Astyanax mexicanus: one gene and its partners. The protein of the gene in region 1 purifies or fractionates together with the protein of each later gene. This does not show direct contact. Links are inferred from orthologs where the notes say so. Each region holds a gene or a part of one and is shown on either strand. Other genes may lie near its edges.

The links.
Region 2: the proteins of epidermal growth factor receptor (region 1) and uncharacterized protein LOC103043983 purify together in Homo sapiens (affinity purification with mass spectrometry; 4 studies listed by BioGRID and IntAct, with this or other methods). This does not show direct contact. The link is inferred for Astyanax mexicanus from reciprocal best matches to the Homo sapiens genes EGFR and EMD.
Region 3: the proteins of epidermal growth factor receptor (region 1) and pex19 purify together in Homo sapiens (co-immunoprecipitation; 3 studies listed by BioGRID and IntAct, with this or other methods). This does not show direct contact. The link is inferred for Astyanax mexicanus from reciprocal best matches to the Homo sapiens genes EGFR and PEX19.

The regions. Positions count from the first base shown.
Region 1 is NC_064413.1:1,351,445-1,359,208, forward strand, and holds the start of epidermal growth factor receptor, read left to right. Parts: upstream 1-4,347; 5' UTR 4,348-4,507; coding exon 4,508-4,583; intron 4,584-7,764. UniProt on the Homo sapiens protein: Receptor tyrosine kinase binding ligands of the EGF family and activating several signaling cascades to convert extracellular cues into appropriate cellular responses.
Region 2 is NC_064419.1:7,954,678-7,962,895, reverse strand, and holds the start of uncharacterized protein LOC103043983, read right to left. Parts: upstream 3,418-8,218; 5' UTR 3,323-3,417; exon of another isoform or gene 3,187-3,322; intron 2,763-3,186; 5' UTR 2,759-2,762; coding exon 2,677-2,758; intron 741-2,676; coding exon 645-740; intron 317-644; coding exon 282-316; intron 192-281; coding exon 160-191; intron 70-159; coding exon 19-69; intron 1-18. Other genes in the region: soat1 (sterol O-acyltransferase 1), read left to right, coding at 6,993-7,113, 7,693-7,751. UniProt on the Homo sapiens protein: Stabilizes and promotes the formation of a nuclear actin cortical network. Stimulates actin polymerization in vitro by binding and stabilizing the pointed end of growing filaments. Inhibits beta-catenin activity by preventing its accumulation in the nucleus.
Region 3 is NC_064415.1:44,424,266-44,432,616, reverse strand, and holds the start of pex19 (peroxisomal biogenesis factor 19), read right to left. Parts: upstream 3,418-8,351; 5' UTR 3,364-3,417; coding exon 3,315-3,363; intron 2,562-3,314; coding exon 2,467-2,561; intron 2,242-2,466; coding exon 2,079-2,241; intron 1-2,078. UniProt on the Homo sapiens protein: Necessary for early peroxisomal biogenesis. Acts both as a cytosolic chaperone and as an import receptor for peroxisomal membrane proteins (PMPs).

The sequences.
Region 1 (7,764 bases):
CGTGAAGTTCAGGGTAGACTGGAGAGAGCTGGACTCATCAGCTTCAGCACTGAGCTCTTCCTCCAGCTGGACCTTCAGTGATGGACTGAAGCTCATGAAAGGGCAGAGAGCAAAGAGTGAGAGAGAGAGAGAGAGAGAGAGAGAGAGAGGGAGAGAGAGAGGAGGTGCCACATGAATTCAGTTATATTTATCCCTCTGAAAGATGACACTTTGACATTTTAAGACGTGCATGTAGCTGCTATGATGTAAATCCCTGCCAGCCCATGCAAATAAACTGGTGCTTTCCCAAATTATATATATATATATAGCTCTGGAAAAAAAAATCATAAAAGCTCTGGAATATAATCAAGAGGAAGATGGATGATCACCACAAGCCATCAAACCACCAAACTGAACTGCTTGAATGAATTTTTGCACCAGGAGTAAAGCAGCATAAAGTTATCCAAAAGCAGTGTGTAAGACTGGTGGAGGAGAATAATATAATTGCAAGATGCATAAACAAAACTGTGTTTAAAAACCACTGAACTCTTAAAACTTTATGAATATGAACTTGTTGCTTTGTTTGCATTATTTGAGGTCTGAAAGCTCTGCATCTTTTATTTGTTATTTCAGCCCCTCAGCCAGGAGAAATGTTGGCCGTAGTTTATAAAATAAAACAACAATGTTAATTTTACTCAAACATAAACCTATAAATAGCAAAATAAGGACTCAAGGATTGCCCTGTACTATGACTATCTTTTCTGTCCCTGCTGAAGAAAAGCTTATCTCCACAGCATGATGCTGCCACCACCATGTTTCACAGTGGGGATGGTGAGCAGTGTTCGTTTTCCGCGCTTTGCATTTAGTCCAAAAAGCCTTAAACCTTTTTTTTTTGGTCTGATCTGACCACAGAACCTTCTTCCACATGTTTGCTGTGTTCGTCTACATGGCTTGTGGCTACAAACTGCAAACGGCACTTCTTACTTCGTCTTTCTTTCAACAATGTTCAACAACTCTTTCATAAAGGCCAGATTTGAGGAGTGCACAACTTATAGTTCTCCTGCAGATTCTCCTGATCTGTACATGAGCTGTGGATCTCTGCAGCTCCTCCAGAGTGACCATGGGTGTTTCGTTTAATTTTGTTCCCCCAATTTCGCAATTATGCACCACTTTCTAAAATCTCAATAAAACACATTTAAGTTTGTGGTTGAGACAAAATGTAAAAAAGTTGAAGGAGTATATAAATACTCCAGTGACTATTAGTCTACACTGTCTATACTGTCGCGCATCATTGCTATTAACAGAAATACTTTTCAGTACTACATCAATCGATCAACAGAGATAAGAGAACAGATTCTATAGTTACTATAGTCGGATTAAATCTCTTAGCAACCAGAGGAAGATGATCCTGCCTGAAGGGTTGTAACCTTGCCTGGGGCGGTGGGGACTGTCCAACCATCTAAAATTATTCTACCAGCTGCAGACTATTCTTAGTCTTAAAAAAGACCTGCATATACCCACTCTAGTTCTCTCACAGCCAATCAGCTTTACTTCATTTACATGTGAGCGATTCTTTATCCTTTATTCTTTATTTAATATCAGTACTTTATTAATACATCTTTAGATGTTGATGAAAAAACGTGACACACTGTATTTCTGACTGGACCAATCACAGCTTATATTTCTTCGCTGTCCAGTGTAAAAAACACTTATCTCAATTTTTGTCGATTTTTTGTTTACTACATAATTTGAACAGCAAAACTGTCTCTTACACTGTGCTAAAATTTCTTGATGAACGAACCAATAGAAACTCTTCTAAATGACCTGAAATAAACTCTTTTTACATTGACTTCTATTAAAAGTTAAGAAGGTTTTTTCTCTCTCCTATAAAGTTAATATTAAGAGGGAATCGGCTTCCACATGTATATTTACTAGAGCATTTTAAAAAACATATCAATTAAATATCACTGAACTCATATTGAGTTAAATACGCAATGTTAAACTCTTCTGTCTTTGTTATATTTAGATCTGTATATTTTTACACTCTGAATGCAGTAAAGCAGTATGTACTAGAACTGCCTAATTAAACTAACTATAAAATACCATTTAATACAATTGGAAAACTGCTTAATTTAGCAATTATTAAAAGCTAAGGCTAAAAGTTAGCACTCCCTAAAGACCCAACACCCACTAAAACCCACTAAACTAGCAGCACTTCCTGCTGAGAGTCATACTGTTCAGCATGAGGGGCAGTCAGTCATTGGTGGAACAGGGGAGGATTTGGGGGTGTTTTTTTTTTATTTTTTTTACCAATAATAACAATCTAACTAAATAAAACATATTCTGTTTTTCACAGTAGATGGCGCTCTTTCTTTAACCCTCATCACTCCTAGGGTGATGTGGATCAGCACAAGGCTGCGTCTGTGAGCTGATGTATCAGAACCGAGTCGCTGCCCTTTATTCCCAGCGTTAGAGCTGCTGTGATGCTACTCGGCAATGCTACAGCATCAGCAGCAGTTCAAAAAGAGGCGGAGTCTGACTTCACATGTGTCGCAGGAGGCGTGTGCTGGTCTTCTTGGGTAATTGGCCTTGTAAATTGGGAAGAAGATTAGATAAAAATTTGAAATTAGCAATAAAATACACAAAAATTCTAAAGGTCAGCTCAGGGCCCTATATAGGCAATTGATTGGTTTGCTTGCCCTGTTGATACGGGTCTGATACCAATACTCTATTATTGTTTAGAAGATAGCCATGTTCTTCTGCATGAATGCTGCACTAACTAACTAATGCAGCAGGAACATTTTCTGGGAAAAAATATGTTTTAATCCTGACCTGAACCAGTGTTTCATCAAAATTCCTCTTTTATTGACTCGACTTAATCAGCGTCCTGGAAACCACATGTCTTTTACGGCTCTGTATTAATGCAGGGTGGTTGCCTGGCTTCATAACCTGCAGTAAACGTGCAGCAGACTGATGATGAGCGTGAGTCACTGAACTCAGGTCTAAGTTGGGTCTAATGGTTCCTGAGATCTGTGGTTCTTTGTGTGCACTGTTTATTATGTAAGCAGTAGGCGGAGTCATTATCTTGAAGGGAGGCAACAATTATCTCTTGATGTGTAGCTTAAAACATGATGGCTACACTTAAAAATGATGAGTTTCTTTGATTTTACCAAATTAAAAACCTGCGGAATATAATCAAGAGGAAGATGGATGATGATCACAAACCATCAAACCACCAAACTGAACTGCTTGAATTTTTGCACCAGGAGTAAAGCAGCATAAAGTTATCCAAAAGCAGTGTGTAAGACTGGTGGAGGAGAACATGATGCCAAGATGCACGAAAAAAAAAAACTGTGATTAAAAACCAGGATTATTCCACCAAATATTGATTTCTGAACTCTTAAATCTTTATGAATATGAATTTGTTATCTATCTATCTATCTATCTATCTATCTATCTATCTATCTATCTATCTATCTATTTATCTATCTATCTATCTATCTATCTATCTATCTATCTATCTATCTATCTATCTATCTATCTATCTACACCGTCCTCGAGTGTGCTGTTCCTCCAGCGACCACTAGAGGTCACTCTCCACACTCCACTAGCACATGGCCCAGGTGTGATATGACTGATTTTAAAGGATAAACAGATCAAATATAATTCATTTTTGTTAATTTTGTGTTTTCTACACTTTACAAACAGATTATCTATTGTTTGGTATAATGTAATGGTACTCTCAGTGTATAGTATACATATTAAACAGTGTCCCAGACACTTTTTTTTTAGAATTTTAAGGTGATTTAAATAGTCTCTGGCAGAGGAATAGCCATGTTTATTCTCCATCCTTCAATACCGTTTTAAAATAGGAAAACAAAACAAAATGTTATAAAATTATTTCAAACGTATCAACAAATGTGAACAGCAGTGGTGTTCCCATGCAGGTACTAAAAAAAGATAAAAACAAATACATTTCATTTGCCCAGAACATAAAAGGAAGGTTAAAAATATCCACTGTGATTGAGTTCTTTATAAAAAGTGAAAGATTATTCTAAAGTTTTGGAGCTGTCAGTAATTACATTGCTCTATTTTCTCTTTTCCATGAGTATTTCGTCATTGTCCAATGAAAAACAAGTATCTAAAAAACAGCAACTTTAAATTTTCTAAATATTTTTTATTTTAGGTTATTTTTAAGTATTTCTACTGGTTCTTTTATCAATAAATTTTGACACAGTGTTAGAGACTATCTGTTTAAATATTGTAGTAAACTAAAAATCAACAAAAATAGAGATACTTGTTTTTCATTGGACAGTGACAGTTTGTTATTGCGCATGCGCTGTAGTAACCCGCAGATTACACCTCTGGAGCGGCACACGTCACATCTGCCCCGTACAACAGCCCTGACCAGTAGAGCAGTGCTGATCCCGCGCGCCGCCTCCAAACGCCCTGCGCGCGCCCTGCTGGAGTACCACCCCAAGCACGCGCTCAGGACACCTCCAGATAAACACGCAGTTACCTGATTAAAATGTCACCTGCCGCTGCAGGACTCCTCTACCTGGCCGTGTTAAGCCTCGCGTGCTCCGCTGCACCTGAGAGAAAAGGTGAGTTCACTTAATTACTTCATTAAATGTAGAGTTTTATTTCTCCTGAGCGCGAGAACAGCCAGCAAAAATCCACTTTTTTATGTTTTAGGCAAGCGCTGACAAGACGAGGAGCGCGCGCTCCAGCTGATGGTTATGATAATATCCTGTGCACGCGCCTGCGTACACTCTGTCCTTAAACAAAAAGGGAAAAAATGTCATTTAAAAATGGGTCTGGAAATCTGGCATCTTGGCATCATGTTCTCCTCCACCAGTCTTACACACTGCTTTTGGATAACTTTATGCTGCTTTACTCCTGGTGTAAAAATTCAAGCAGTTCAGTTTGGTGGTTTGATGGCTTGTGATCATCCATCTTCCTCTTTTTTTTAATTTGGTAAAATCAAAGAAAATCATCTACAGCTATTACAATAACTAACAGTATAATTGTCCAGGATGTGGCCATAATTTAATCCCCTGTCATTTTGATAAAAAATGTGATTAATCACAGTTAATCACACTTAAATTTCTTCCTTAAGTTTAGACAATGGGTATTTAATTGCGAGTAAAAGATTCAAATGTTAGACACATTTACTTTTGTATTATTGGTGCCAATCCCTTAAAAATGGATAAATCACAGATAAAATTGTGATTACCTTTTTTTAAAATGCTGGTACTTAACTGTATTTTTAAGAGGGGAAAAGAAATAATGTTATAAAGTGGCAGACTAGATCTTATTATTTACGGTATTATAATATCTCAGGGTAGTTTTACTGTATTATCTAAGGGAATTTTTTATGCTTTTTAAACTAGAAAGTGTAATGTTCTGAGTTACAGAGTTTAACTGTGAGAGTTGAAATGGAGAAAATAAACACTAATGTAGCTCCATATTCTACATTAAAAAAGAGAGAGAGAGAGAGAGAGAGAGAGAGAAGGAATGTGTTAAAGTTTCCAGATTACCTGTATGCGTTAACGTGTTAATGTTGACAACCATAATATACATGTATATACACACACACACACACACACCTATGGCTGTACATACTTTAAACTAAACCGGTACAGAGAGACAAGCAAACCAGAGGTAAGGGGGGGGGGGGGGGGTTGAATGGGGTAGGTGGTGCTGATGGGTGACAGATAGAAGAGATAAGACATAGCTACGCATTTCCAGCTTCATTTATTTCCAGTCATTTATACTGAAATAAGGTGTTGGCATAGATATACAGCTCTGTAAAAAATGAAGAGAGGACTTCAGTTTCTGAATCAGTTTCTCTGATTTTGCTATTTATAGGTTTATGTTTGAGTAAAATGAACATTGTTGTTTTATTCTATAAACTACAGACAACATTTGAGGTTTCAGACCTCAAATTATATAAAGAAAAAATGTAATATTTATAAAGTTTTAAGAGTTCAGAAATCAATATTTGGTGGAAAAACTCTGGTTTTTAATCACAGTTTTTTTTTCTTGGCATCATGTTCTCCTCCACCAGTCTTACACACTGCTTTTTAATAACTTTATGCTGCTTTACTCCTGGTGCAAAATTATTTTTAAAAGCAGTTCAGTTTGGTGGTTTGATGGTTTGTGATCATCCATCTTCCTCTTGATTATATTCTGGAGGTTTTTAATTTGGGAAAATCAAAGAAACTCATCATTTTTAAGAGCTCGCTTATTTTTTTTCCAGAGCTTTATGCTATATAAACATTTTTTTAATAGGAAATCCTATTTTGATTATGGAGGAATCCTGGACATTTATACTGTTAGCAATCAAGCTCAGTTCTAAAAAATACAGCTTAAACCAATTTACGCACCTCTACTTCCCAAAAATATACAAAGATAAATAAATAAATAAATAGCGATAAAAGAAAAAAGAAAGTAAGAATTAGCGGTAATATATTGCTGTTATTAAGGAATAAAGTTAAAACTAGTAAATTTTAACTAAACCAGACCCAGATTTTGGTTATGTTGGACTAAAAGTTTACTGAGATTATTTCATTATTTTTGTATGAGAAAATGACCCCAGATATCTGGATTACTGGAATATATTTAGCTGGGCCAGAATTTCACCATTATTAAGAATGAGCACCGAGACAAGTAGAGTCAAGCCCCGACTCTGACAGTCTCTTATTATTTTAGTACAAAAGCAGTTCTTTTGTTTTTTTTTTCTTGTGCAATCAATGAGGTCAGTAACGCAGAATCATCACAATCTCTTCTGCTAAATCCCTGAAACAGGTTTGAGTTTGTCTGCTGTTACTTTTCTCACTAAACCCAGAAAAGATGTTGTCGCCATTGTTCTTTATATCAATATTAAATATTAAATAGCTTATTTTAGTTGATTTACTGGGTGAAGAACATACTAGGGCTGCACAATATAATTTTGAACAATATATATCGCGATATTAAACAATGCAGGGCCCATGATGTCACAAGCCCATTAGTCTAATGGATTTGTTTAGCTACCTGAAGTTGCAGCCATTGCTCATCTATAATACAGCTTATCTACAGGGGTTATACAATGAAACTGAAACACCTGTCATCATTTTAGTGCGGGATTTTAGGTTTCATGGCTAAATTGGAGCAGCCTGGTGTTCAATCTTCATTAATTGCACGTTGCACCAGTAAGAGCAGAGTGTGAAGGTTCAGTTATCAGGGTAAGAGCACAGTTCTGCTCTAAATATTGCAATGCACACAACATTATGGGAGACATACCAGAGTTCAAAAGAGGACAAATTGTTGGTGCACGTCTTGCTGGAGCATCTGTGACCAAGACAGCAAGACTTTGTGATGCATCAAGAGCCACGGTATCCAGGGTAACGTCAGCACACCACCAAGAAGAACCAACCACATCCAACAGGATTAACTGTGGATGCTGTAAGAGGAAGCTGTCTGAAAGGGATGTTCGGGTGATAACCCGGATTGTATCCAAAAAACATAAAACTACGGCTGATCAAATCACGCAGAATTCAATGTGCACCTCAACTCTCCTGTTTCCACCAGAACTGTCCGTCACCACAATCAATTATTGTGCTCTAAAACCAGGTGTTTCAGTTTCATTGTTCAACCCGTATAGTATTTCAAGCCGATTTTTAAAAGTCATTCTGCTTAGTTATGCTATTTGATTATCATTACGTCAGTAAAATTTCTGATTTGTCCACTTAAAATAGTCATTATGACAGGGCTAGTTTCAGTTCTGAGGAAGCAGACGGC
Region 2 (8,218 bases), on another chromosome or scaffold:
ATTAAACAGGACACTTACTCATCAACAGTGTCCAGTTCCTCATATTCAGACTTCAGACCTGGGTTTGTCCTGATTAACAGAAATAATGTATCAGCTCAGTGACATTACATCAAAGAGCATTAAAGCAGGAGCTGGAGCAGAAACTTAAAACGTAATTACCTCCAATCACCTCCGTACCCCTCCTGCCTCAACTGTACCAACACAGAAAACAGTGAGATCATCCTCATCACCTCTTAGATAAAAGAGAACTGGTAGAATTAAAGGTGAGAGGTTTGACTTACCGGTCGGCGATAATGAACGTAGGGGTCTTTCTCCTCTGAAAGAGAGACAGACAGTTATTAAAGGTGTAAAACTGATTCAGAGCATTTTTACTAGGGTTCTCCTGATCTGATCCAGTGGATCAGGATTTAAAACACACAAATCACAGCAAATTCACCCTCTATAAACCAGTCATTATACATCTGTAGATCAATAAACACTTAAAGATCCATCTGATCAGTCCAGAGTGTGTACAACACACACATACACACAGAAAGTCAGTTGTCTGTGGTGCTTTAAAAGAACTTGGCGCTAAATGGTAAGCCTGGATTAAAAGATATTAAACACACTATACAACTGTAATTTTATAAAATTATATTTTTTACCTTCTCTGTAAAAGGTTCGTTCTGATGGACGTTTGACTTTTCTCTCTTTAGCCATGGCTTCTCTCAGCTTCTTCTCATACAGAGTCCTGGTCGTTTCTGACAGACCGTCACATTAAAAACTGTTATAATCTTTTCCTTTTATCCAGCACTGATTCATACTGTACGTTACGCCATTAATACACCCAGCAGGCTACTCCATTGTACACCCTACAATTTACCCTTTAATTCATACTGTACACTACACAATAACACATCGCACACTACCTTTAAATTCATACTGTATGCTGCCTCTTAATACATACTGAACACTACCCCCAAATTTATACTGTATGCTACCCCTTAAAACATACTGCATACTACCACTAAATGTATACTGTATGCTACCCCTTAATACATACTGCACACTACCACTAAATTCATATTGTATGCTACCCCTTAAAACATACTGCACACTACCCCTAAATTCATACTGTATGCTACCCCTTAAAACATACTGCACACTACCACTAAATTCATATTGTATGCTATAATACATACTGCACGCTACTCCTAAATTAATACTGTATGCTTCCTCTTAAAACATACTGAACACTACCCCTAAATTCATACTGTATGCTACCTTATAAAACATACTGCACACTACCCCTAAATTCATACTGTATGCTATCCCTTAAAACATACTGCACACTACCCCTAATTTCATACTGTATGCTACCCCTTAATATATACTGCACACTACCACTGAATTCATATTGTATGCTACCTCTTAATACATACTGCACACTACTCCTAAATTCATACTGTATGCTACCCCTTAAAACATACTGCACACTACCCTAAATTCATACTGTATGCTACCCCTTAATATATACTGCACACTACCCCTAAATTCATACTGTATGCTACCTTATAAAACATACTGCACACTACCCCTAAATTTATATTGTATGCTACCCCTTAAAACATACTGCACACTACCACTGAATTCATATTGTATGCTACCTCTTAATACATACTGCACACTACTCCTAAATTCATTCTGTATGCTTCCCCTTAAAACATACTGAACACTACTCCTAAATTCATACTGTATGCTTCCCGTTAAAACATACTGAACACTACCCCTAAATTCATACTGTATGCTTCCCGTTAAAACATACTGAACACTACTCCTAAATTCATACTGTATGCTTCCCGTTAAAACATACTGAACACTACCCCTAAATTCATACTGTATGCTTCCCCTTAAAACATACTGAACACTACCCCTAAATTCATACTGTATGCTACCCCCTAATACATACTGCACACCACCACTAAATTCATACGGTATGCTACCCCTTAATACATACTACTGCACGCTACCCCAAATTCATACTGTATGCTACCCCTTAATATATACTGCACACTACCCCTAAATTCATACTGTATGCTACCCCCTAATACATACTGCACACCACCACTAAATTCATACGGTATGCTACCCCTTAATACATACTACTGCACGCTACCCCAAATTCATACTGTATGCTACCCCTTAATATATACTGCACACTACCCCTAAATTCATACTGTATGCTACCCCCTAATACATACTGCACACCACCACTAAATTCATACGGTATGCTACCCCTTAATACATACTACTGCACGCTACCCCAAATTCATACTGTATGCTACCCCTTAATATATACTGCACACTGCCCCTAAATTCATACTGTATGCTACCTTATAAAACATACTGCACACTACCCCTAAATTTATACTGTATGCTACCCCTTAACTCATACTGTTTGCTACCCCATAACACACCACACACCACCCCTAAATTCACACTGTATTTTTTTTCCATAATACACACCACACAACCACAAAATTCATACTGTTTGCAATCACATAATAATATACTCTGTACACTTTTCGTTAATTTATACACAATGGTGTGAGAGGGATACTAAACTAGATCACTATAATAATGTTTTATTCATTAATAATAACAAATAAATAAATATTATTAATAATAAAAGCTTACCGACTACAGGACCATGTTTTATCCCGTAATCGTCCAACATCCAGCCGATCTCCTGATCACTTTTACTGCTCAGCATCGCCATCACTCTGTTATTGATAAGATATTTAATCAGGGATTGGTTTAATCAGTTATTGGTTTAGTCAGTGACAGTAATAAACAAAACTTTTATATAAAAAGAGATAATAGAAATGAAAGCAGCTGTATGAGCAGTTCCTCTTCCTCACTGTGCTTAAATTCACTTTCAGTTCACTTTAGACTAAAGGTTGGTTTCACTCTGTTCTGGGTGGAGACTCTCTACTGAAATTAATAAATAGTTCAGGACTGTTATTAATCTCTGTCCGAAAAATTAATCCAAATCTCCTATTCTACAAACGCAGACCTTCACAGACTCTGAATTTCCACAAATAAACCCTGTAGAGTCTCCTCTCACCCACAGAGTCTCTATTATTCACATTAATATTACCACCGATCCTCAACACTGACTATACTAAACCCGTAAACAACACTCACTCACACAGCTACAGTTCTACAGCCCGCGGTTCGGTTCGGGTTAGAGTTCTACAGGCCGCGGTTCTGCAGTTGAAGGTAATAAATGTATTTCTCTCTGTAATTATCTGAACATTCTCTCAACTGTGATTAAACTCACGCTCTGAACTCCTGCAGCTGCTGCAGTACATAAACAAACGCTCTTCCGCTTCCAGGCGGAAGTGATGCAGTTACTGTGGTTAACAGCGCTAATGCTAAAGCTAATGCTTTAATTCAGAGTTTTATTCCTTTATTATTTCTTTCTCAGCTTTATTCTTAAAAAAATGAATGTAATTGAAAAGTTACTTTATTTCAGTTAATCGCATATATTATATAGATGTATTACACACAGAGTAGGCTAATCTTTTAAGCATTTATTTATTTTATTGTTGATGATTATGGCTTACAGCCAAAGAAAACCCAAAAAATCAGTGTCTCAGAAAATTAGAATATAATATAATACAAATTGGTACTTTTTGTCAGTGTGGGCAGTGTTCCAAATCCTGCTGAAAAAAATGAAAGCCGCTTCTCCACAAAAGTTGTTAGCAGAGGAAAGCATGAAGTGCTGTAAGATTTTCGAGAAAAACATTGCATTAATAAAATCATTAAAATCATCCTGAATATATTGCTCTGTGTGTAATATATCTAAATGATATTATCTATATAAAATGTGAAACTATATAATAGTTACTGAAGTATAATATTACTTCAGTACTATCGACTTGGCCAGGATATTCCTTAAATTTTAGAAAGTATAATGTATTTTTGCTAAAATAAATAAAAGAAAGAAAACTTACCTATATATTTTATATGTTTTTCTTCAGAAAATTATGTATTTTGGTACTGAAACATGTGACATTGGTCTGTGTTGAGAAAATAAGAACTTGTTCAGTATGAAAATGAAATGAATATTTATAAACTCAATTTCTCCATATAAACCGTTTATTTCGGACTCACTCTAGTGCACCCTCTAATGGTCAAACAAACCTGGAAGAGATTCTCAAGTGGGAAGTCTCACATTAGGGGGTTGGGGATGAGTTGGGGAGCTAGGTATGAGTTGGAGAGTTGGGAATGAGTTGGATAGTTGGGGTTGAGAGTTAGGGTGAGCTGTGGGGAGATGAAGATGAGATGGGGAGTTGGGGATGAGATGGGAAGGTGAGGATGAGTTGGAGATAAGATGGGTAGTTGGGGATGAGGTGGAGATATGGAGATGAGTTGGAGATAAGTTGGGGAATTGCAGATGAGATGGGAAGTTGGGGTGGAGTTGGGGATGAGTTGGAGATTTGGCGATGAGTTGGAGAGTTGGGGATGAGTTGGGGAATTGCAGATGAGATGGGAAGTTGGGGTGGAGTTGTGGATAAATTGGATAGTTGGGGAAGAGTTGGAGATTTGGCGATGAGTTGGAGAGTTGGGGAAGAATTCGAGATTTGGCGATGAGTTGGAGAATTGGGGATGAGTTGGAGATTTGGCAATGAGTTGGAGATGAGATGGGGAAGAGTTGGAGGAATTGGGGATGAGATGGGAAGTTGGGGATGAGGTGGGGTTAAGTTGAAGAGTTGGGAATGATTTGGGGGTGGTGATCATTAAAAATATCTTTACTGTCATCACTATCTCTCAGTTCCTGTGGTTGAATGCAGTTTAATCCTCACAGCAATGCTCTTCTCCAAAAGTTTGTAAACATCTTCTCACTTTGGACAGTGGAGGCAGTTACTCCAACAAAAACAGAATTGTATTTTTCTTTTTTTTGACTTGAGAAGAAATAATGAATAAATAAATGGTCAGGTGTCCCAAATACATTTGGACATATGGAATATAGTGTATGTTTCATGACGTCCATATGTCAAATCTAGAGTCTCTGTTCAAAACAATTCCAGTGATTGGCACAAATCCTGTCATACAACCTTATCGTAGCCAATCGGAGCGGACAGTGGGAGCGTCACTCAGCTGTAGCCCCGCCCACTGTGCAGAACGTCTTCCTTATCATGAGGAGGTTCAGCAGCTGATCTGCTCGGTTCTCCAGCCTAAACAGATTCTCAGAGAGATCCAGAACCTTGAGTAGGTGTGGGACGATCTGACAGGTGAGTTACATCATGTTCTTTTTGTTTATAAGATCAAAGGCCGGGAGAAGACCCAGCGCGAGCACTTCGTGCAGCTTCAGATCAGGGTTCCAGAGCCCGCTCAGAACCCACAACATCTCCAGACTGCGCTTCTGTCTGCAGAACCTGCTCAGATTTTTTTTTACTAATCCTCAGTGAAATTAAGTAGATCTAGGACCTAATTTGTGACGACATTTTTATACCACTTTGATCCTCCACAGACAGGTGTGTGAGATCATGCTTTGATGTTTTTATTGATGTTAAAGAGTGTGGCTCGAGACAGAACAGAATGAATAGAATCACAATGAAGTTTCAGTGTTTCAGTATTTTATATTAGAGACGCACATAACATTAAAAGAATCATCCATAACATTAAAAGAATCATCCATAACATTAAAAGTATAGATCCCCCAAGGTGGCAACAAAGTATAAAGCAGACCTTAAAAGCTATTAAAAGTATTTAAAAAAGCATTCTGTATATTTGAATTAAATAAACCCGATTCTGGATAAACTTGAAATATGTAATGGCATAATGCACACATTCAAATTTTAACAATGCTTTTTTTTTGTGTGTTTAAAATGTTTAACCTTGTAAAGTAAGTTTGCTATTGAAAACATATACACTTTGAAATAATGACTGATTTTCAGATTTAAAAAAAATTATTTCACGAACTGATGTTTGACTCCTGGCCAGAATTTGTATTTCATTTTTTTTAAGTTTTAAAATGTATGGATCAGATTTTAAATTTGAAAAAATATATACAATTTAGTTTATTTTGTCATTATTATTATTTTGTATAATTTATAAACTGGAATTTATTTACAATTTGTTTTGAACTTGTAACTTGTTTGCTGTAGAAAAAAATACATTTCAAAATAACTTAAGATATACATATTCATATTTATATATATTTAAATCTATCTACTAAATGTCTAAATTCACCTCTGGCTTTAGCTAGCATTTCTTTTTTAATAAAAACGATTTGCATTTATAGATTATATTTTTTTTTTATCTGACAATGTAAAAATAAATAAATAATTAAGTGTATTTTTCAACAGCAAATTTCACTACTTTTATATTTATTCTAATGTCCATAATTTTCCATATAATGTGTCATGATGACTGGGGCTGCAACGGTTAGTCGATATAATCGGCAGTATCGATTATTTAAAATTTGTAAGCTACAAATTTCATTGTCGACTAATATTTAAAATTTCATGTTTAAACAACATCTGGACATTTAAATGGCTTTTAAATCTTATGCTTAGCTGTTTCTATTGTTTTTAGCGACGGAGAACATGGCAGGAGAAATTGGTGACTAATCAACTAATCGGTAAAATAATTGTCAGATTAGTCAAGTACCAAAATAATTGTTAGTTGCAGCCCTAATGATGACTGAAACTTTTTCACAAAAGTATATAGAAATAATTAAGTTGTCTTCAATAAATAGAGGTAAAATATAATATAAATGCTCAAATAGAAAGACAAAGATACCTTTTTTTTTATATATACATACATTGACTACATTGACTAAATTGACTAAATGTAGCATTGTAACAGAAAAAAGAATTCTGTGAAATATTTGCCCAGCTAAAGCTGCCCTAGCCAACTGTAAGTGCAATAATAATTGAACCACAAGGCAGTAGATCAGGTTGAAAGACACAAAATCCTTCCTGTCTTCCAGCAGCAGGAAGATGGAAGATGAAGATGAGATCGAAGGTCGAGCGACAAAAAGAGGCTTCCACAAATTAACAAGATCAAAAGAATCGGACAGCACAGTGAACCAGAGGGACCTGCACAACACCAACGGTAAAGGTAAACTACACCAAACTACACACCACCATACAATACACTACACTATACTATACACTACACTACACCCTACTATATCAGACTTTTATCCGATTTTCTAGATGTTCTGCAGATGTTGTGTTGTTCTGAATCAGCACACAGCAGTGGAGTACTAGCAGAGTATGAATATATCTGTTTTCTGCAGTTCTCTGTGTTTTGGATGAATTCCAGTTTAAGTCACTTACTGCAGAACAACAGCAGCACAGTTTTAAACAGTGTGTATTGTTGAGGAACGCAGTCTGGACCTCTGTTAGAAATGTTGTGACCTGTGTGGGAAATGTATCTGGGCAGGTCAGAGTGCCCTGTGCTGTAGGTGTCGTCCACCAACCATCTGCCAGTGCTGCTACTGTAACCAGTGCAAATATTTGACTGGTATTGTACTGACTTGTTGACTCATATATTGGCCATATATTAATCGTGTGGTAACCTAGCAACAACACAGCATGTGTTTGTGGTTACATAAGAGCAGAAATCAGGAACACTGTTCATCCTGCTGAATAAATACTGATTCATTGATTGATTTGTTCTTTCTGTTTGTTTTAGGAAATGTGGAGCTGGACCATATTCTTCAAAAGAGGCTCCTGCTGAGGAGAAAAGTTCAGGTGACCGAGTTTATTCTGTTTGATTGCATGATTTGTGCCAGAGTGTTACATGAATTACATCACTGTTACCTGATTTAGATCAGAGTGTTATGTTGTGCAAGAGAGGATTTGTGTCCTGTAAATCTGCAGGACTTGTTGCTGAAATCATGATTAACACAGTTTTCCCGTCTATAAAGGACAAAATTGCATGATGTGATTGTCTCACTTCAGAGGAAACGTCTGTTGCAGAGTCACATGTCTGAGTCACATGTCACTCTGCAGGATGAGTTATAGTGTAGAATAATTCAGATCAGTCAGGCCGGGGTTAAATCAGCTGAAAGTTCAGACTGGATGGGGAAGTTAGTTGTAAATTCCATGATTACTCAAGTTATTTAGAAAGATCCACCCTGTGTGCTCATCACTACCGCTGACATCTGACTCAGGCTGTTCAGAACATTTGGGTCGAAGGTTGAGAGTGACGGTTCTGT
Region 3 (8,351 bases), on another chromosome or scaffold:
CTGAGTTTCTCCGTGGCTCTGCGGCTATCAACGCTTGAGCTTGTAAACAATGTTTTGAATCACGGATCATTGACTTGTGAATAGATTCACTCAGTGAGTCGACTCCTCACTCAACCCAAAGCGTCTGAAAATCAAACAGATCACATGATAATTCCCTATATCCGTGGAGTTAAATGTTCAAAATTTCTTGCATATATATATATATATATATATATATATATATATATATATATATATATATATATATATATATATATTTGTCATCTGTATGTTTAGTTTATATTTGTTCTTCTGTTGACTTTGAAGCTTTAGAATATTTTAGTATAATTTGTTGCAGGTAAAATTTTAAATCATGCAAATTTTTTTTAAGGAGTTTGTGATATTTGTTACATTAGAGTCTTGAAAAGGCAAAAAAATGTAATATTTAAGTGTGAAATGCATTTATACTAAATAAAGCTTAGACATAATTTTTTTTTCTGCAATACTGTTTTCTTGAAATTAATAAAATATCTTTGTTATATCGTCAAAAATATCGTTATCGCGATATTTCCCTGAAATATCGTGATATTATTTTAGGGCCATATCGCCCACCCCTAGTGCGCGTCATTCTGACAGCGAGCTGCGCACGCGTCAACTTGTTCTGTGTTTTGGCAGTGCTTAGCAGCTGTGTTCAGACTAGCAACGCAAACGAGCTAACTTTAGGGAGAAGTCTATTGGCTTTTATAAGCTTTGTAAACACATATATATATATATAGCTAGGTGTGTGTGTGTGTGTGTTAAAATGGTGCGGACTTGTGACTATCCAGGCTGTAGCAACAAAGATGTGGCTGATTCTCCGCAGAGTTTTCATCGTTTTCCTGTGACTGATGTTGCTCTGAGGAAACTTTGGGTACTAGCGCTGGGCATCCATGTGGACACAAAAGTGGAAAAAATAAAAAAGCTTCGTGTTTGCAGTGCGCACTTCAGCGATGATGACTTTTTATCCACATGTCCTGGACAACGACAGATGAAGAAACGGATTCTGAAGAAATCTGCTGTCCCTGCACCCCAGGTAAATAAAACTGTAGCCTACCAATGTTCTCTACAGCATTCGCTCATAGCGTAAAAAAGTTCTCAACACACCAGCATTCAGGAGTGCAGGGAAGTCACTGTTGTTTGTGATGCAAGCAGCTGCCCCGCTGACATCCTCATCAATGGATAGGTCTTGCATCTCGGGCATAACTAACTCGTGGCAACAGTAGCATTCCACCTCGGTCTGCATTATTTCGCACTTGAAACAAGTGCACCAGGATTTGTCGGCCACCCTGGGTATCGCAGCTCCAGCAGTGGCTCCAGTTTCATCTTCCACCACTTCTCTGTCCACCCTCTCTCTTTCTGCCCGATCTAATTCCATTTGGCGAAGTTCAACATCTGTATACTCGGGTTCATAAAGATATCCCCGTGGCTCTGAGCGGTGATCAATGTTTTCCTCGTCACTCTCGTAGTCAGACATGTTCTCGAGGCGAGAAGTAAACAAAGCGACCCAAACACGTAGGCTAGCTGTCAGGTTGCAGCGCTGCGCGCATTGATATGGAACGAGAGAAAGTAGGACCCAAGTGATTTACGAGGCGTGACTTTTGCAGGGTTAGTTTTTTGTGATGTAAATAAATCACTCTTTTGAACACGTACTGCTTTGGGAAGAAAAAGGAGTTATTTTCCTGACCCCAGCAAACATGCCGGACTACTTTCGCTTTGACCTAAACTGGACAAGAACTCGGCTCACAGGACGCTGTGGGGGGTAAGTCAGTGTGGATGCACGACACTGGTTATGATGATGCCATACAGACTCATGTCAAAAATACCGAACTATCCCTTTAAGAACTACACAACAGATTCTGATGAACACCCAATGTAACACAGACAATCAGAAGTTCAGGTTTTTAAATCAGTGACCAGACTGGTTCATAAACACTGTTCAGTACTACTTGAGCACTAAATGATGTGGGGTTTGTGCAATCAGTTGTACTGAAGCAATTCTACTTGTGTGTTAACAAAGGTAACAAAAAAGTTCCAGGTATCCAGCATGCATGCAGACGTACCGACTTTCCCAGCAGCCTCTGACAGTTTATGGAAATGCTGCAGCAGCTCTGGCTCTTCCTGCGCCAGCTCAGCCATTGCCCTCTCCCACTCCTCCTTTGCCTGATTGGCCATCTCCCCCTCAAACAGAGACTCAAAGAACTGACTGTCTTCCAGCAGAGGGGGCTGCAGACACACACAAGCACAAACTGTCAGTGTTTTATACACACTGAATAACATAACAAAAAAAAAATCATGAGTTCTAATAATGTCAATTAAAAAAAAAGAAAGACCCAATAACATAAATATCACGTATAAATGAAATTATAAGAATTTTAACATTCAGAAGATTTAAAGGCATTAATATTTAAAAAGAGCAAAAGGTTAAATTATGACACAACTGATCCTTACATTTGGCCCTGCACTTTTAGCTTCTTCACTGGGAGCTGCAGCGGCTTCAGGAGCCGCACGGGGCGCGCTGTTCTTGTCAAAGTCATCGAGAGCACCTAAGAACGGAGTAATCAAGTTAATAATAAAACAATAAAATAAAATAAAAAACAACAATAAAAATGACTTGGTATGAATGTTATACTTTAGATTACACAGCAATTACATTCTGCCTTATGTTTACTATATATCCAGACAACTATTATATATTACTTGGGATATATGAAATTATTCATTAGATGCCTGAATAGTTCTGGACAAATAGTTAAACTGTTGTGTAATGTATTTATTGGTAGTCTATCTAGCATACAGTTATTACTGTTAGATGTTAGAACCACTCTGTCACTGCTGTTGCCCATAATAATACTAATTAAAAAATTAATAATATTAATAATAATACGATTTGTAAACATTTACATTACCATTTACCATTTATACTATTTATAATTAAATATCCATGTAAACCTGAGTTACAGTAGATATAAAAGTGATTCATAAACAATATAAACCTAATTAAACGTGTATGCGACCATTTTTTACACTGACTGCATGATAAAGAAGAGAAATTCCACTTTGTTCTTGAATCTGTCCGGTCCACCTTAAATGATAAAGCAGTTTTATTCTAATTCCTCAAACTAGTATAGTAACTGCTGTACTATTTAAGGTGGACCGAGTTATTTAAATAAACTCCAGTTTAGTGGTAAAACAACACCAGATATTTCAGTGCCGCGCACTGTCTTACTCCTCTGTGTTATTCTGAACCCTCACTAAACAGAAACCCTACCGGGCTGCCCAGTAAACCCAGTCCTTACTGTCCAGTAACTCGTCCAGCTCCGAGTCCGCGGCCTGCTGCTCTGCCATCTTCACTCCGCACTGAGCCCGGGGACGAAGTGACGCAGCAGCGGCGTCTCCGCCACAGTAAAAGTCCCCTAAAAAAACACAAAACACGACCAATAATCAATATTCAACAGCAGGTTTTAATAATAAAAACAGGCTTTCTTTTGTTTTAAAAATGTGTTATATTACTAAGATTTTATTTATGCCATTAAATATAAACAACCCATTACATTTAAAAACACGTTTAGAATATGTTTATTATAAGTGGCTATTCTTCTAAGATCTTTTAATACTTTTTTTTATTAAATTGCAATAAAAAGTAAATTTAAAAAAATATTTTCTATTATTATATTATTAATGTATTATTAAAATACACACACAGTGGCATGAAAAAGCATTTGCCCCCCTCCAGCTTTCTTTTGTTTTTGCTTTTTTTTTGTAATAATTTTTCCAAGTATTAAACACACTTTACTATAAGACAAAGATAACCTGAGTGAATATAAAAAACAGGTCCGGGAGTTCTCTGTGGAAGAATTGTGTTCCACTTTTCTTTACAGAATTGTTTAATGCAGCCACATTGCGGGGGTTTCAAGCAAAAAACGGATCATTCTACAGCATCTTAATCAGACTTTAACTTGGCCACTCCAAAACCTTCATTTAGTTTTTTTAAGCTATTCAGAGGTGGATTTGTCAGTGTGCTTTGGATCATTGTCCTGCTGCAGAGCCCAAACACACTTTTTGAGATCTTTTAGCTGATTCATATTGTCAGGCAGGTTCTATTTAGGTGATTTCTTGATTTTACAGGTATGGCAGTAATCAGGCCTGGTTGTGGCTAGTAAAATTGAGCTCAGCTGTAAGTACGCCAAAAAAAAAAGGCAAAAACACAAGAAATCTGTAGGGGGCAAATACTTTCTGACACCACTGTATATGCATATGTGAAACTTTATGTAAAAATCACATACCACATTTTATTATTTTTATCCCTTATAAAACTGAATATATCAAAATGTATAAATTATACTATTCTCATCTTGTTTTTTTTATCCAGTCAAATAAAATGGTTTCTGACAACATACAAAGGTAAAGCAGACTGGCATAAATGAATAAAATTCCATAAGTGAAAACATACACCCAAAAGACCCTAAAAAACCCTCAAGTTTTTTTTTATTACAAATGTGTTATTAGGCATGTTGGAGATACAGCTGAGCCTGGTCTTGCTGACAGTCTTCACTTGCAGCAGAACCACACCAGATCTTGTGTGGCTCTTACAAAAAAATTAAAAAGTAGATCTTCCTCTGACATTATAGCATTAAACTGCACAGATTTGACTTAGAATAACAGCCATGGATAACAGCTAATTTACTTTCAGGAGAAATTCTAAACTATTAGCCCTGAATACTGTGTATTATTTATATGAGAGGATATTATATACACTGCTCAAAAAAATAAAGGGAAAACTAAAATAACACATCCTAGATAAAATATTCCAGTTGAAAATCTGTATTTATTATAGTGTGATGCGTTGAGAACAAAATAACACAAAAAGTATCAATGTAAATCAGAATTATTATCCCATGGATGTCTGAATTTAGAATCATACTCAAAATCAAAGTGGAGAATCAAATGACAGGCTGATCCAGCTTCAGTGGAAATTCCTCAAGATAAGTTAAAATGAGGATCAGTAGTGTGTGTGGCTCCATGTGCCTGTATGACCTCCCACAACTCCTGGACATTCTCCTGATGAGGCGGTGGATGTTCTCCTGAGGAATCTCCTCTCAGACCTGGATTAAAGCATCAGTCAACTCCTGGACAGTCTGTGGTGGACTGTGGCGTTGGTGGATGGAATAAGACGTGATGTTCCAGTTGTGCTGAATTAGATTCAGGTCTGGGAACGGGCAGGCCAGTCCGTAGCATCAATTACTTCTTTTCCACCTACAAAGTGCTGGTGCCGGAGCCGGTTCCTGCTAACCTTTTAAGGACCGGCCCGTGTTTCCTCTGCTCTAAGGGGTCACTTACTACTTATGTGAATGTGGGCGTAAACAGAAGTTGGGGGCTTTTTGAAAACAACACAGCAGAACCCGAGCTCCTTTTAAAACTTGTGCTGCTGTCCTCACTTTAGATTCATTTAGCTGCTTCTACTGCTCTTAGCTGTGAATTGAGGTGAGGTTTGTAAACAACTTTGTCCTGGAGATGCTTCAGAGCCCCGCCCTTTGGCTGCTCGCGTCACAGGTTCGATGGTTCCAGACCAGCAAGATTGTGGGGCCAGAACGGAACCGGCTTTTCTGGCCAAGAATTTGTTTTTGCAGTGGAAACGCAAAGAACCGTTTCGGGAACCTGGCACCAGCACTGGCACCATGCCGGTGGAAAAGCATCTAATGTTTCCAAAGAAATGCCTCTCCACACCATTACTGACCCACTGCCAAACCAGTCATGCTGGAGGATGTTGCAGCAGCAAAACGTTCTCCACAGCGTCTCCAGACTCAGACAGTCACGTCTGTCACACGTACTCAGTGTGAACCTGTGTGAAGAGCACAGGGCGCCAATGGCGAATCTTTGTGTTCTCTGGCAAATGCGAATCGCCCTGCACAATGTTGGGCTGTAAACACAAGCCCCACTTGTGGACATTGGGCTCTCATACCACCCTCATTTTTGACAGTTTAAGCAGAAACATGGATATTAGCGGCCTGCTGGAGGTCATTTTGCAGGGCTCTTGCACCGCTCCTCCTGTAGCGGTCCTGCTGCTGGGGTGTTGCCCTCCTACAGCCCCCTCCATGTCTACTGGTGTACTGGCCTGTCTCCTGGTATCTGCTTCATGCTCTGAACACTGTGCTGACAGGCACAGCAAACCTTGTTGCCACAACTTGTATTGATGTGCCATCCTGGATGAGCTGCACTACCTGAGCCACTTGTAGACTCCGCCTATGCTACCTCTATGGTGAGAGAACTGACAAAATGCAAAAGTGACCAAACCATCAGCCAGAAAGGATGAGAACAGAGAAAAAGGTCTGTGGTCACCACTCCTTTATAAAGGTTGTCTTGATAATTGTCTCTTATTTCTACCTTTTGTCTGTTACATTTCCACAATAACAAGTGAAATTGATTCACAATCATTGTTGCTTTCTAACTGGACATATTGATTTTACAAAAGTGTGGTTGACTTGGAGTTACACTGTGTTGTGTATAATTTAATTGTGTTTGTGAGAACCGCAGAAGGTGTAGCTGCCCAATTCACAGTACTTGCGTTGCTAACGCTAGCTCTAACTAGCGCGGGTAGCTACTTTTAGTATGGAAGCTAGCAACAGTTGCCAGGCTAGGATTGGTCAGTGTCTGTGCATGGGTGGGACTTATGCGCGCTTTTCGTTTGAGTGACGAGACACGCCGCGAATGGGCAGCCTGCGGGCGGGGTTTATGTGTGAGGTGGGTGTGGTCAGGTGTTCTTGCTGGTTTTCTGCGCTGCGTTCGGCGAGGCTGGATTTCTCCGCTGCGGATAAACCCTCAACAGCTCGCTTTGAGACTCAGCTGAAGCTGCGGGGCAGTCGGTAAGCGGTTCTGAACACTCTCCCGAACCTTCCAACACAGTTTAGACCCGAGTTTTAGTGCAGGTGGGTTCAAATCTGTGTACAGCCCCGCAGAGACCATGCGTTCTGAGGCCTGTGGTGTTAACCAGGCCGCGGGCAGCGCGCTCGAGTTTGAACGCAGACGGAAAATGCGGTGCGACTCGGCGGATTGCCGTGAAAATAAGCTCCGCGGTTTTGGGGAGGAGAGCGCTGAGCGGCCGAGGGGGGGGCGCGGACCGGCCAGCCGAGCGCGTAAACAGGCAGGTTGGTCGGTAGGTTCGGGTGCTGACCCGCGGCAAGGCGGTTTATGAACCGAAACTGTAGCGATAGAGTGGCAGCGTTCCAATATTCCCGCTCACCCTGCAGCATTCAGACGCCGAGCACCCTGCTGCCCGCCCACCGGGGTCCGCTATCGAGTGTGCACTTGAGCACTTACTTAAACGCAAGCTAGTAAAGTCATACAGTACAGTAATACACACGAGCCAACGTGTTTTAGGTTAGGTAACCTAGGTAGCTAACCTAACTAAACAAGAGTGAACTAGCGCAGCATTTTTGTAACGTCTTTGTACTCTTCAGCGAGACATTTTAAAATGGGGAAACGTTATAGTTAGCTAAATAGTTAACTAACTAGTTAAATTAATAATCTACGTGCTTTGCTTTAAGCATAGTCCTACACCAAACATAGTGTTCTAGTTTGGGGAAACAAGTATGGGAAATGCAGCTATATTTTTTCCTTACCTACTGAAGTCCACACTGTGTGTATGAGTTATTGAAGCATTTGTCACTGCATGACAAAACTAAAATGTTGTTCACTGTTATATATGTGAACAAACATACACGTGTTTTACATCAAATATTTTTGTTGAAATCTCCATTGATTGTATACGTTGTTAATGTAATTATTATAGTGACAGGCCTAGAAGTGTCACAATGCAATGTTTTTAAGTACTATATCAGTTCCCAAAACACAGTATGTTTATCAGATGTATGTTTAAAAGTTTAGGTGTTAAGATTGGTGTTTTTAATCCCCTCCCACTCGATAACACCAATACAACAATAGTGTTGTATTCTGCCTTCAGGTCCCTTTGTTCTAATTGTATAAAAAGTTACCTGTTGTTACTCACATTAGACAGTTTTCCTAATATTTTATTTTTAATCAGTATATGATGTAGTGCTTATAGTTGCAATGTATCAAGATATTTAATCGTATCCTCTGCATCATGACTCATATTAAATCCCCAGGTCCTTACCACGACCCAGCTTTATTTTAACTGTTCTACCTTTAATATACCTGTACTTAAGAAACACACTAGCTGAGCTTTTACTACATGCAGACAGTTTTTATTGGGCAGTGTCCCACAAACTGTTAGTGTTCTGCTGTAAACAGTAGCTGATCAATGCAGTTTAAGAACGCAAGTGTGCACTAGAATAGCATTCTAGATGCAACAGAAGTGT